Linked DNA regions of Astyanax mexicanus. The protein of the gene in region 1 binds, or shares a complex with, the protein of each later gene. Links are inferred from orthologs where the notes say so. Each region holds a gene or a part of one and is shown on either strand. Other genes may lie near its edges.

Evidence for each region.
Region 2: ccdc135 (region 1) and iqcd share a complex: the UniProt entries of both Homo sapiens proteins name them as parts of the nexin-dynein regulatory complex. The link is inferred for Astyanax mexicanus from reciprocal best matches to the Homo sapiens genes DRC7 and DRC10.
Region 3: ccdc135 (region 1) and tcte1 share a complex: the UniProt entries of both Homo sapiens proteins name them as parts of the nexin-dynein regulatory complex. The link is inferred for Astyanax mexicanus from reciprocal best matches to the Homo sapiens genes DRC7 and DRC5.

What each region holds. Positions count from the first base shown.
Region 1 is NC_064417.1:7,192,763-7,196,518, reverse strand, and holds the start of ccdc135 (dynein regulatory complex subunit 7), read left to right. Parts: upstream 1-900; 5' UTR 901-1,007; intron 1,008-2,832; coding exon 2,833-2,999; intron 3,000-3,756. UniProt on the Homo sapiens protein: Component of the nexin-dynein regulatory complex (N-DRC) a key regulator of ciliary/flagellar motility which maintains the alignment and integrity of the distal axoneme and regulates microtubule sliding in motile axonemes.
Region 2 is NC_064408.1:34,843,669-34,847,424, reverse strand, and holds the start of iqcd (dynein regulatory complex protein 10), read left to right. Parts: upstream 1-926; 5' UTR 927-1,270; intron 1,271-1,431; exon of another isoform or gene 1,432-1,611; intron 1,612-2,101; exon of another isoform or gene 2,102-2,162; intron 2,163-2,934; 5' UTR 2,935-2,948; coding exon 2,949-3,584; intron 3,585-3,756. UniProt on the Homo sapiens protein: Component of the nexin-dynein regulatory complex (N-DRC), a key regulator of ciliary/flagellar motility which maintains the alignment and integrity of the distal axoneme and regulates microtubule sliding in motile axonemes.
Region 3 is NC_064408.1:85,886,498-85,890,253, forward strand, and holds the start of tcte1 (dynein regulatory complex subunit 5), read right to left. Parts: upstream 2,681-3,756; 5' UTR 2,617-2,680; intron 1,168-2,616; 5' UTR 1,110-1,167; coding exon 923-1,109; intron 759-922; coding exon 190-758; intron 58-189; coding exon 1-57. UniProt on the Homo sapiens protein: Component of the nexin-dynein regulatory complex (N-DRC) a key regulator of ciliary/flagellar motility which maintains the alignment and integrity of the distal axoneme and regulates microtubule sliding in motile axonemes.

The DNA.
Region 1 (3,756 bases):
TTACAAAAGATTATCCTTGGATTGGAGCTTTGATGTAATATTCAGTTTCTTCATGGGCATTTATTTACAGAACAGCAAGCTTTATTATTCGACTTAATTATTATAAGCCGTGGCCACGCCTTAGGATCTCATTCCCATGCCTTACTAAGTCGTGGCCACACATTGTTTTATTTTAACATGATGTCACCTCCATACGAGAAGAGTGTCTCTTATAATCTATTTTTACACACACAAAATTAAACAGCAATCTTTATTCTGTTATTGTCTGACACGGTTCCCGCTCCTGATACATCCTTTGTATGTGTGTGTGTGTGTGTGTGTGTGGCCAGTCAGTCATGGATTACATTAGCATTGAGAAAATTCTTAAGGAGTAAACTGATACACTACTACATGACTAATAATCATTTGATTGTTTAAAAGGTTTGTCTTCGGTGCTGAAACATGTTATATTTTTCTGTGTTGTGGAAATTAGTATATTTTTCTGTGTTGTGGAAATTAGTATATTTTGGGTATGAAAATAATTAGACAATTATAAACCCTGCTCAGTTGCTTCATTCATTTTGGACTCATTATACGACATATCATTTTTTGATTACTAAAACACGTGTTACATGATAACCATAAATAATACCAGACTCCTAATAAGGAGAGATTTGAAAATATTTTATTAAGCATAAATATTTTTGAGTTAACATTTAGTATTTATTCTCATATATCGTTTTAGATTTTAGTTGTAATTATTTTCACATGTGCCAAAATGTTTGCACAGTAAACGTGAAATATGTGATTTTAAAAAATAATATTGGTTAAATATGTTTTAAAATCTAACGTACGTGAGCTCGTGAGTATCCACGAGCCAATCCAAGCACAGGAGTGAGCGCCGGAGGGGCGGGCTTTGGGAGAATGCGGCTCGCGGATTGGTTTAGGTGGTGAAGGGCCATGGGCGGGGATTTTGTCGCTTATGGAAACCGAGTATAAACAGTTCCAGCGTTACTGAGGAGTAAAAGGTAAGCGGTTCATACTAACGTAAATATCTCATATAGTAAACCAGAATAGTCTGTATTATATACAGCTTTACTATGTAGTGAAGATTGTAAAACAAGGGTTAGTGTGTGCACGTTTTCTAACTGTCTGTAATCTAAATATATTTAGCTGTGATATTCTGTTTTTTTTGGGTCTCACTCACATTTAACAAATAACGTTACAGCTCTGGAAAAAAAATAAGAGACCACTTCAGTTTCTGAATCAGTTTCTCTGATTTTGCATAGGTTTATGTTTGAGTAAAATGAACATTGTTGTTTTATTCTATAAACTACAGACAACATTTCTCCCAAATTCCAAATAAAAATATTGTCATTTAGACCATTTATTTGCTGAACTGTTTGGATACAAAAATCAAGCAGTTCAGCTTGGTTTGATGGTTTGTGATCATCCATCTTCCTCTTGAGTATATTTCTTAGGTTTTCAATGTGGTAAAATCAAAGAAACTGGTGGTCTTTTATTTTTTTCCAGAGCTGTATAAGTACTGATTTTTACCAGGGCACTTGTATTTATTTAAATTATCAAAACAGTAAAATCTATCTTTCCAAGAGCAGAGCTCTGGTTAAAAACAATATAAGATACATATAAGATACATACATACAGGTACATCTGAAAAAATATAATATTATTGAAAAATTACATTATTTCAGTAATTCAGTTAAAAATGTGACATATATCATAAAGATGCATTACACACAGAGTGATCTATTTTAGGAGTTTTTTTCTTTTGTTGTTGATGATTATGGCTTACAGCCAATGAAACCCCCTGGAAAATGAAATCCTGTGATCTTATTAATTTTACAATGTAAAAAAATATATATAAAAAGAAAGAAAAAAGTGTAATGAGAAGAGGTGTGTTCAAACTTTTGACTAGTACTGTATATAGCAGCAACACATTATCAAAAAGAAATTCAAAGTAAAGTCATTGACATCTATCACACTTGCCTCAGATAAGGTCAATGTTAATAATTCAATAAAAAGAAAGAGACTGGGTGAAACGGACGTCCATGAAAGAGTTCTAAGGCAAAAACCACTGCTGACCAACAAGAACACAAAGAACATTGCTTTGCTTCTTCAGGAGCTGGACAATTGCTATAATTGATGGAACCATGAATCCATGAACCATGATGCTCTCTACCAAAAACTCTAAAGGAGAATGCCTGGCCATCAGTTTGTGACCTTAAGCGTAGGCGTACTTGGGTTGTGCAGCAGGACAATTATCCAAGGCATATCAGTCTACATCTGAATGGCTTAAAAAAAAGTGATGTGGCTTGATTTTAAACAGGCTGTTTATGCTCAAATACCTTCCAGTATGGCTGAATTAAAATAATTCTGCAAAGAACAGTGGGTGAAAAAGATTCATTTATCGCAAATGCTTGATTGCAGTTGATGCCAAGGGTGGCACAGCCAAGTTATTAGATTTGGAGGCAAATACTTTTTCACATAGGGCCAAGTTGGTTTGGATAGATTTTTGCTTTTTATATTTATATATGTTATATTTGTTTTATATTAAAATGTGTTTGTTAATCTGAAAGCTAAACTAAATCTGTAGGGGGCAAATACTATTTCACAGCACCGTATATTCTTCAAAAGGTATGTTTTTCACACAGTTTGGTCTTGCTGTATTTGCACAGTTTTGCTCTTATCTAATGTTTTTCATGCTTGCCATCTGCCAGTTATGTTCAAGAGCTAAAGCAGGTGTGTTAGAAAACATGAAAGCCTGAAAACATGAATCGGTGGGATGGCAGGTCCCCTGGACTGCAGCATGTGCCTTGTTTTCACTCCTTGTAGATGGAGATGCTGCCGGAGGTCGAGCCTGAGCTGGAAGAAGCTGAGCTCCAGGAGGAGGAGGCAGAGCAGGAGGAGGAGGAGGGAGGAGAGGATGGAGGTCTGAGCGAGTTACGGGAACTGGAGGAGACGCTGGCCAAAGTGCAGATAGCCCCCTCAGCAGCCCAACTGTGAGGTTACTATAGTTCGTTGGCGCTTGGTAAACTCTGTGCTTGTGTTAAAGTGAGCCGGTATCATGGTTATGCCACCCCGACTGTTTGCATTACACAATCACTGACTGCAAACATGAAGATGTAATGTCTCATACACGCTGTGCTGAGGGGGAAAACACACTCAGGAAGACCACCCAAACAAAAATCAATAGGCTGTGTATTGAGTATGGGGTTACTAAAGGTCAACATGTGTGTTAAGATAGCAAACAGTGGCTTTAGCATGCTCTTAGCATGTTGTGGTCTTGAGAAAACCATAGGAAGTCCAGATTTCAAGCATGATGAAAACATGGCCTCACATCTGGTGGTCAAGTTAACAACACACCTAATGAGTGTTGCTTTTCTTTAGTAGTCTAATAATAAGTAATATATAGCTGAAAGTAAGATTCTGACAGAATTTTATGTGTTTCCTAATGAAAGAGAAGATCACTCAACCTTTTTACACAGTGATGCTTGCTGTATAAAATCTAGGTCACCAATAAAAAACCTTAAAGCAGAGTGATTCACAAAATCTAAAACAATCCAGAATAAACAACAGTGTTGCTTTATTAATCTTCTTATGCTAATTGGGAAACACATGTTGTTTTGATATAGGAAGCTGCATTTTTGCTTAAGTTTGCCTGTAAGCATGTTAACATGCTGCTTAAAAGTGCATTTTGTTCTATAGCCATATGCCGTAGTATATACTAGTGCATCTCAGAAATTAGAATATCATTGA
Region 2 (3,756 bases), on another chromosome or scaffold:
AGCTTTTTACGATTTAATCCGCTAACTGTGACCATCTTCACTCTCAAACAACTGACACAGGAAAACACCAGACTTTACAAAAACGTAAATAACAGACAACCATTTTACGACACTTGTAGTCCATTGACGACCAAACTTGAGGCATATTTTTCACAATAAAAGTCCCGTTTAACAATATGTTTTCTCGGAATTTCTTGTTTGTTGTTTTATATAAATGGCATAGGTATTTTCCGGTAATTTAAAATGTAAAGTAGAACAAACAAAATGAATAAATAAAAAAACTAACAAAAATAAAAAAGAATTATATTCTTAAAGTAGTAGCATAGTATTACTAGTAAGTAAAACCAATTTTTTTTCTTACCGTGTCGTGTTTTACACATGCAACCCTGATGGCAAAGAACATAAAAAAAAACGTTTTTTCTTTTTTCTTTTACCGTCGATTATGAAAAAACAACCATAAAACAACATTTATGTAATACTGCCTAATAAGAATCGGTTAACAATAAAATCCCATTAAAAACAGTAAAAACGTTGAATTAACGTTAATTTGAAGGTTTTGAACCTTCAAATTAAGAAGGTTGTGTGTGTGTGTTTCCTGACACCTAGCTGTATCATACACACTTATTTTTAGTGTTCTGTGTAATTCGGTTTAAATTCTATTGATTTTTTAAATATATAAAATGTAATATTCACTAGAATTGGCACTGTATCCAAAATATAAATGGTGTGCGTGTCTGCTGCCACCTAGCTGTGACACAGTTGCTGAAATGCTATTGAATTTGTGAATATATAAAATATAATAAAAAATTTGAGCATTTCGCATAATATTAATGGGTGTGCAAGTTTCCTCATGACTCAAAGTATACATCCCCGTTATTCTGATGTTTATGAACCCTAAGGATATGGAGCTAACGTTATTGGTGTTTTTTTTTTTCTTAAAGCCATCTATTCTTATGTGGGAACATTAATAGGCATTTTTATGCACTGAAGTGATTTGGAGGTAAATAAATGAGTGTGTACAGATGTAGAGGTGGTCTAGAAGTACATGCATTTTATTCTGACAGGAAAAGTGCGCTTAGTTTTTCGGTATTAACGCTAAAAGGGCGTTGCGCAAATTTCACCCAAACAGTAAAAGGAAGGGTGTGCGTCACTCTCTGTGGTCGTACTGTCCTGATTATGTAACGTTAAGTATCTGCTGGCTACCATCCTCCGTTCAGAAGTTATTAGAGCCGAAAAGTCGAATATCAAAAATGAAACTAACTTTACCGTGGTAAAAATAACTCCTTTTTTCTTTAAGTAAGAATGCAAAGTTCGTGTATGACTGAATCCAGTGTTTATTGATATAATTGTGTATTATTATATAGAGCAGTGTGTATATCTGTAGAGCTGTATGAACTCAGAAGAGCCTATGTGTTTAAAACTGTCATGGCAACCAGCCATAGCGACCAGTGTATACACACAGCACTGCAGCGGAGCCAGTCTACAAGCAGTTTACCTGAGTTTTACTGACTTCAACTGCCGCAGATCTATAATTACAGCGTTACGTTGATGGGAAAAACCAAGCCACCGCGTAGTTAGTGTTTTAGAGAGTTTTGGAACCGCTCGGCAACAGTGAGTACAGACTGAAGCGTTTTCCCACCTTTGACCTGACCTCTCTCATCTGGTTTCAGCCCACAGCCTAACTGTGTACAGGCTGCTCAGCTAACTAGGTTGAATGGCTGTACAGGCATGATTATTGACCCTCCTATAACTGTGGTGTCATCTGACCCCATTCAGTGTTTAAAGTCTCTGAAAAAGTGTCTGACCTTGTGATTCATATTTATTGTCTTTTCCTAAACTGATGAAGACAAATAATAATAATAATAATAATAATAATAATAATAATATAATATTGTATTTTCAATGTTCTGTTCATATTTTCTAGGTGCTGCAACTAATAATTATTTTGGTAGTTGACTGATGATAATTTTTACGATTAGTCAGCGATTATTTCTGCCATGTTCTCCATCTCTAAAAACAATAGAAAAAGCTGAACATAAGATTTAAATGCCATATAACTGTTTATATGTTGTTTAAACGTGGAAAGTTCTGATATTTCGTGATTAAATATGTAATCTGTTGTGTTTAGGCACTTTTGGAGACACACGTTGAGTGTAAACAGTGTGAGTGAGCCATTTACCCTACTCGCTTTTGTCCCCGGCAGTTTGTGTAATGCGGGAAAAGTCGACAATCAAATTTGTAGTGGACAAAATTAAATCATCGACATTGTTGATTATACTGACTAAAGGTTACAGCCCTATACACCCCAGTGTTATTTAACAGGTTAGCTAAACCCCAGGCTGTTTAATCTGTATAAACATAAGAAAAAAGACATTCAGTTTTATAATCTTTCTCTAAACTTCCCTTCACTTTAGGCTTAAACTTAATAACGCAATATTTGTAATAATGACAGAACCACTGATAATTCATCAAATAAACATGGTTTGGGGCTGCTTTGCTGCAGCAGGGCATCTCAGGCTCTTAATCATAGGATCTACTATGAATTATTGTGATTGACACTTCTGATTGAGTCCAATTGGGTGATTGGGTGCAATTTGAGAACATCTGTGTAAAAACTACATAACTGTAAGGCTGTCCAAAGTATCTCCATTTTTGTCTATTTTTAGTTTATTGCATTTGTAAATTGTAATTTAATTGTAAATTGCTTTTTTGGAGATATATGTTTTTCACTGAACAGCAACAATATGTAATTTAACACAACTTTATTACCTCCATCTCTCTGTATGGCAAAATGAAGATCAGATGTCCATATGTTGAAATATGATGTAAAAGACAGATGTTTAGATGGGGTCCCCTTCTTTTTTCACCTGATTTTATCTCTCTAACAGTTAAAGCATTTTCTTTAATGTTGTTGACATGTCATCCTTTTCTTAGAACTGCTCGTGTCCATGGCATCAGAGACAGATGAAGCACTCTGTGTTAATGAACGCCAAACCGAGACCCCCTCTTCCGTCACCCCCCATAAAAAAACACAAAAACTTTTAAACTTATCTAGGAAGAAACTGGTGTCTTTGGAAAAACAGCGCATTTTGGGAGTTGTGGATGAGTGCATCAGTTTGATGGAGCTGGTGGCCCTGCTGCCCTCTGAATTAACCCACCCTGAGAGCCTCTCTGTAAGCCTCAGAGCAGAAATGACCAGGGCCCTCACTGAGGACCTGCATCTGTCAAAAGCATACCAGGACCTGAGCCTGGACCCTGGAGCCAAAGGACAGGAAGCAGCTGCTAAAGCAGTGCAAGATTCATTACTGAACATTTCACGGCTGCTGAGGGCCTGTCCTACTGCAAAGGTGGGGCTAAAAGGGGCAGGATCTATTGAAGAAGATAGAAAAGGTGTAGAGGAGATGTTAGAATGGTTACAGGACAATAGAGTTGTCCTACTAAAGCGGCTATTTATGACACCTATGGAGGAGAGGGTACGCATTCAGCGCATGCAGGAAGACACTCTGCGTCACAACAGCAACCAAAAGGTGCTTGCCACTCTGGAGAAGGAAGCTGCTGCAGCGGTAAAGGACAGGGATAAAGAGGTGAGGGACAGTCAAGCACTTTGTTTAAAACTTTGCACTATTCACTAGAGATGTACCAAGTTTAATTTTGTTTTTTCAGGTTTTTCATCCATTTTGCTACTTTTTCCACAATTGAAGTTACAAAGCGAAATAAATATGAATTTAACACTTAACCTTTAACCCAGAAGACATA
Region 3 (3,756 bases), on another chromosome or scaffold:
GCTCACCAGCGTCCGGCACTTATCATCATCCACGTTACTCTGATTGATTTTAAGAATCTGTTCAAGCAAATGAAACAAAAAAAGGTTAAATTAAAAGGTATGATTTAATACAATGGCCCAAAATGAAGTAAAAAACATCTGACTGAGATGCTATACTATGGTAAACAAGATCAGAAATTTTTTTTGAACCTTCAAAGTTGTGCACGATTGCAGGGCCTTGGCCAGGAACTGACAATCACTGAAGGTGAACTCGAATAGATTCCATTCAAAGTTCATGCCACACCCTCTCACTCCATAAACCAACTGCAGTTCCTCCAGGTTGGTAAGCTTGTTCAGCAGGATTCTAAAGTCAAAGTGGTCTATTGATGGCCCATCATCGCCCAAATCGCTGGCAGATTCTGAGGCATCATCTTCATTGAACTTTGGTGGTTTTCTGATAGGTGGCAGAAGCTGAGTTATCTTTAGCCTCCTAACATAATTCTGACAGAGTGGCACAACATCCAGCACTGATTTGGGCTCAGTTTGGTCGGGAATGAAAAGTTCAATAATGTTCTCCAGATGACGCTCAAAGAACATGCGTTTCCAGCTGAGGTCATACTCAGAAACATCCCTCTGGCCCCAGCGGTCCTCACAGCAGCGTCTCCAGTAACCCTCATCACTGATCAGATTGGCTGTTAGGCTCAAAGGCAGGAAGGTAGGAAGCTTCTCCAGGACAAAAGCCTTCTGACTAGGCAGGAGCTCATTCAGAATAGGCTTCTCTGAAACATTTTAGAGCACAAATCAACAAATGCTGTAAAACACTGTGAAACATAGTATATACTATATACTAGTCAAAGTACCTGATTAATTATATTATTACTTAAAATCTATCATTAAAAAGTGTGTGAATAATGTCTTAATAGTAGTAGAAAAAGAAGATTACCTTCAAAATGATTCACTATGTGCTGTAGACATAAGTTTTTTAAGGAAGGCACAACAGCAAGAGACCATTCTGGGTCTTCAGCAATAATTCTTCGCATCTTTCGAGGATCTGCAGCAGGATTGAGCATCTTTACTGGTGGGTTAATGCCAGCTGGAGCTTTGCCCATGGACATACTTATGACTGGCATTTCTTTGTTGTCACAATACACAAGGGCTGAAGTCAAGTCTTTAGATGAGTCCTCTCTTCTTGAAAAAGTAGAAAATAATGAGACAAATTTACTCTGGAGATCCCTTTACTTTCCAACAGGCCACTGGAGCACAGATGTATACTGCTGTTTAACCCAGAGAATTCCTTATTTAAAAATCTGCATAACAAAATTTAAAATAATAGAATGGGATTAAGATGTGAACAGTCGGATTGGATTCAGACTTGAATTGGTTGAAAATGTTTGGTTTTAGAAAAACTTTCACAGTCAGAATTGTTCACAGCAGTGGTAAATAAAAGAGTTTAATGCATCTAAAACTTCCTCAGAGAAAGTGGTAACGACAAATGCTTTAAGAAGATTTTGGAGAAAATCCATTCATGGTGGAGGGGTACATGAAAATTGTTATAAAGCACAACTGGCCTCAATAACAGACATTTTAAGATTAAATACGGTTTACCATAATCTTTACCATTACAGTAATTTGTTTTTATTTTTTATATAGTCATGGGGGATGCCTGATTCTTATCATGACACGTGTAATGTAATCAGAGTTGTTGAGTTCCTACAATGAATCATTTCATGCCAAATCCCTCTCAGAATGACTGTTAACATCTCAACCATTTAATTATTCTCTCACACATGGTTGGACAAGTCTTATTTTAAACCCAATTTCCACCAATCTGGGAAACTGAGAAAACTCCTGAGAAACAGCCCTTGAATTTTTTCACTTTGATCTAAATACAGTCTGAAGGACTTTCTGACTCATCACACCCCAGTCTTATCAAAACGACATACATATACAAAATGTGTAAGATCTTTTTTTTTCTTAGCTATATAAATCTCTTCTTTATCTCAGACATATGTTAGTTTTCTATCAACTGTGCATTTCACAGTTTGTCATGAATGATCTTACAGGGAAACACTTTAAAAGAACATTTTAAAAAGTCCTGTAGTAAATTGTAAGTAAATTTCAGTCAATTGTCAGCCATAGACCAAAAATATAACTGCTATATATATAGACCACAATACACAATAGTCACATTATCGACTTAATGGATGTGATCCCAATAATTTTAGCAGTCCTTAATACTGCCCATAACGTTGATCTTAGCAAGAAGAGCCTATTAAAGTGTGTGAGCTGGTATTTGTTTAAACAAAGGTTTTATAGCTAACTTAAATTATTTAAAGTTCCCTGCTCTTTTTAAAGTCTGTTATTATGCTATTATATAATCATTAACTACATCGGTGGTATAAAAGGCACAGAAATGATTCAGCCCTACTGAATCTAGTTACCTAGTTAGGTTAGCTGGGTAAGATAACCTAGGTTAACGTTATTGCTACACAGCAGACTAGAAGGCAAAATGACAGTAAATTGAAGTGAACGTAATGAGTAAACAGAGTACAATACTGTGGAGAATAATGTGTTTAATGTGGGTATTGCTGTGGATATTCCTAAAACAGACACGCTGAAGAAAATCTACTTATTTACCTTCCGTTCTCCAGAGTTCACCGCCAACACAAGAGTCTCCAGTCGTTATGGCGACAAGGAAGCGCTGTGATTGGCTAGTAGTCACAGAGTAGGGGGGACTTAAAAGGACATGTGTACTTTCTTTCTTTAATTTATTTTCTACATTGTAGATTAATGTTAAAGACATGAAAACAATTAAGACAAACATATGGAGTTACGTAGTAAAGAAAAAAAGTACATTTTACAGCTCTGGAAAAAAATAAGAGATCAATTCATTTTCTGTATCAGTTTCTCTGATTTTGCTATTTATAGGTATATGTTTGAGTAAAATTGAACATTGTTGTTTTATTCTATAAACTACGTAAAACATTTTTCCTAAATATCAAATAAAAACATTGTAATTTAGAGCATTTATTTGCAGAACATGAGAAATGGCTGAAATCAGAAATCAATATTTGGTAGAATAACCCTGGTTTTTAATCAGAGTTTTCATGCATCTTGACATTACTTTTGAATAACTTTGTCATTCCTGGTGCAAAAATTCAAGCACTAGTTTTTAAGTGGTTTCTTACATATATATGGACTGTGAACTAAACTTTTTTCCAAACCAGAACACTACAATCTCAAACTACCCCATCAGCCCACCTATATGCAGATATTTACATAAACCTGCAAAGTATCTTTTCTGCATTTTCCATTTTCTATACAAATTCTACTTTATTTATTAATGGACTTTTTAAAATAGTTCAATTGGGGTTTCCCCATCCTGTCTCAGTAAACTTTTAGAATTAAACTGTCTGAACTGTCATATTTGTTTTGAACAAATGAACCTGCTGACTGGGATTGGCTAATTAATGGCCATGCACTGCTGGTACTGTGGACCAATGCACATACATTAAACATTAAAATATTTGAATAGGATTCTATTAATAGCTCTTTTAGCAGCCCACACACAGAGCGTCCCACCAGGAATTGTCCCGGTACTCCCTATGGCCAGTACATCCCTCATCTCAAACCATATACATGAAGAGCAAGTTTTTATTCCAGTTATTCCATTATTTATTTTATCAATATATCATATTCTCATTGTTTAAGTTCCATTAACCCTAAAACAGAACACACTGACCATACATAACATGCTAAACTGTTATTAATCAACAC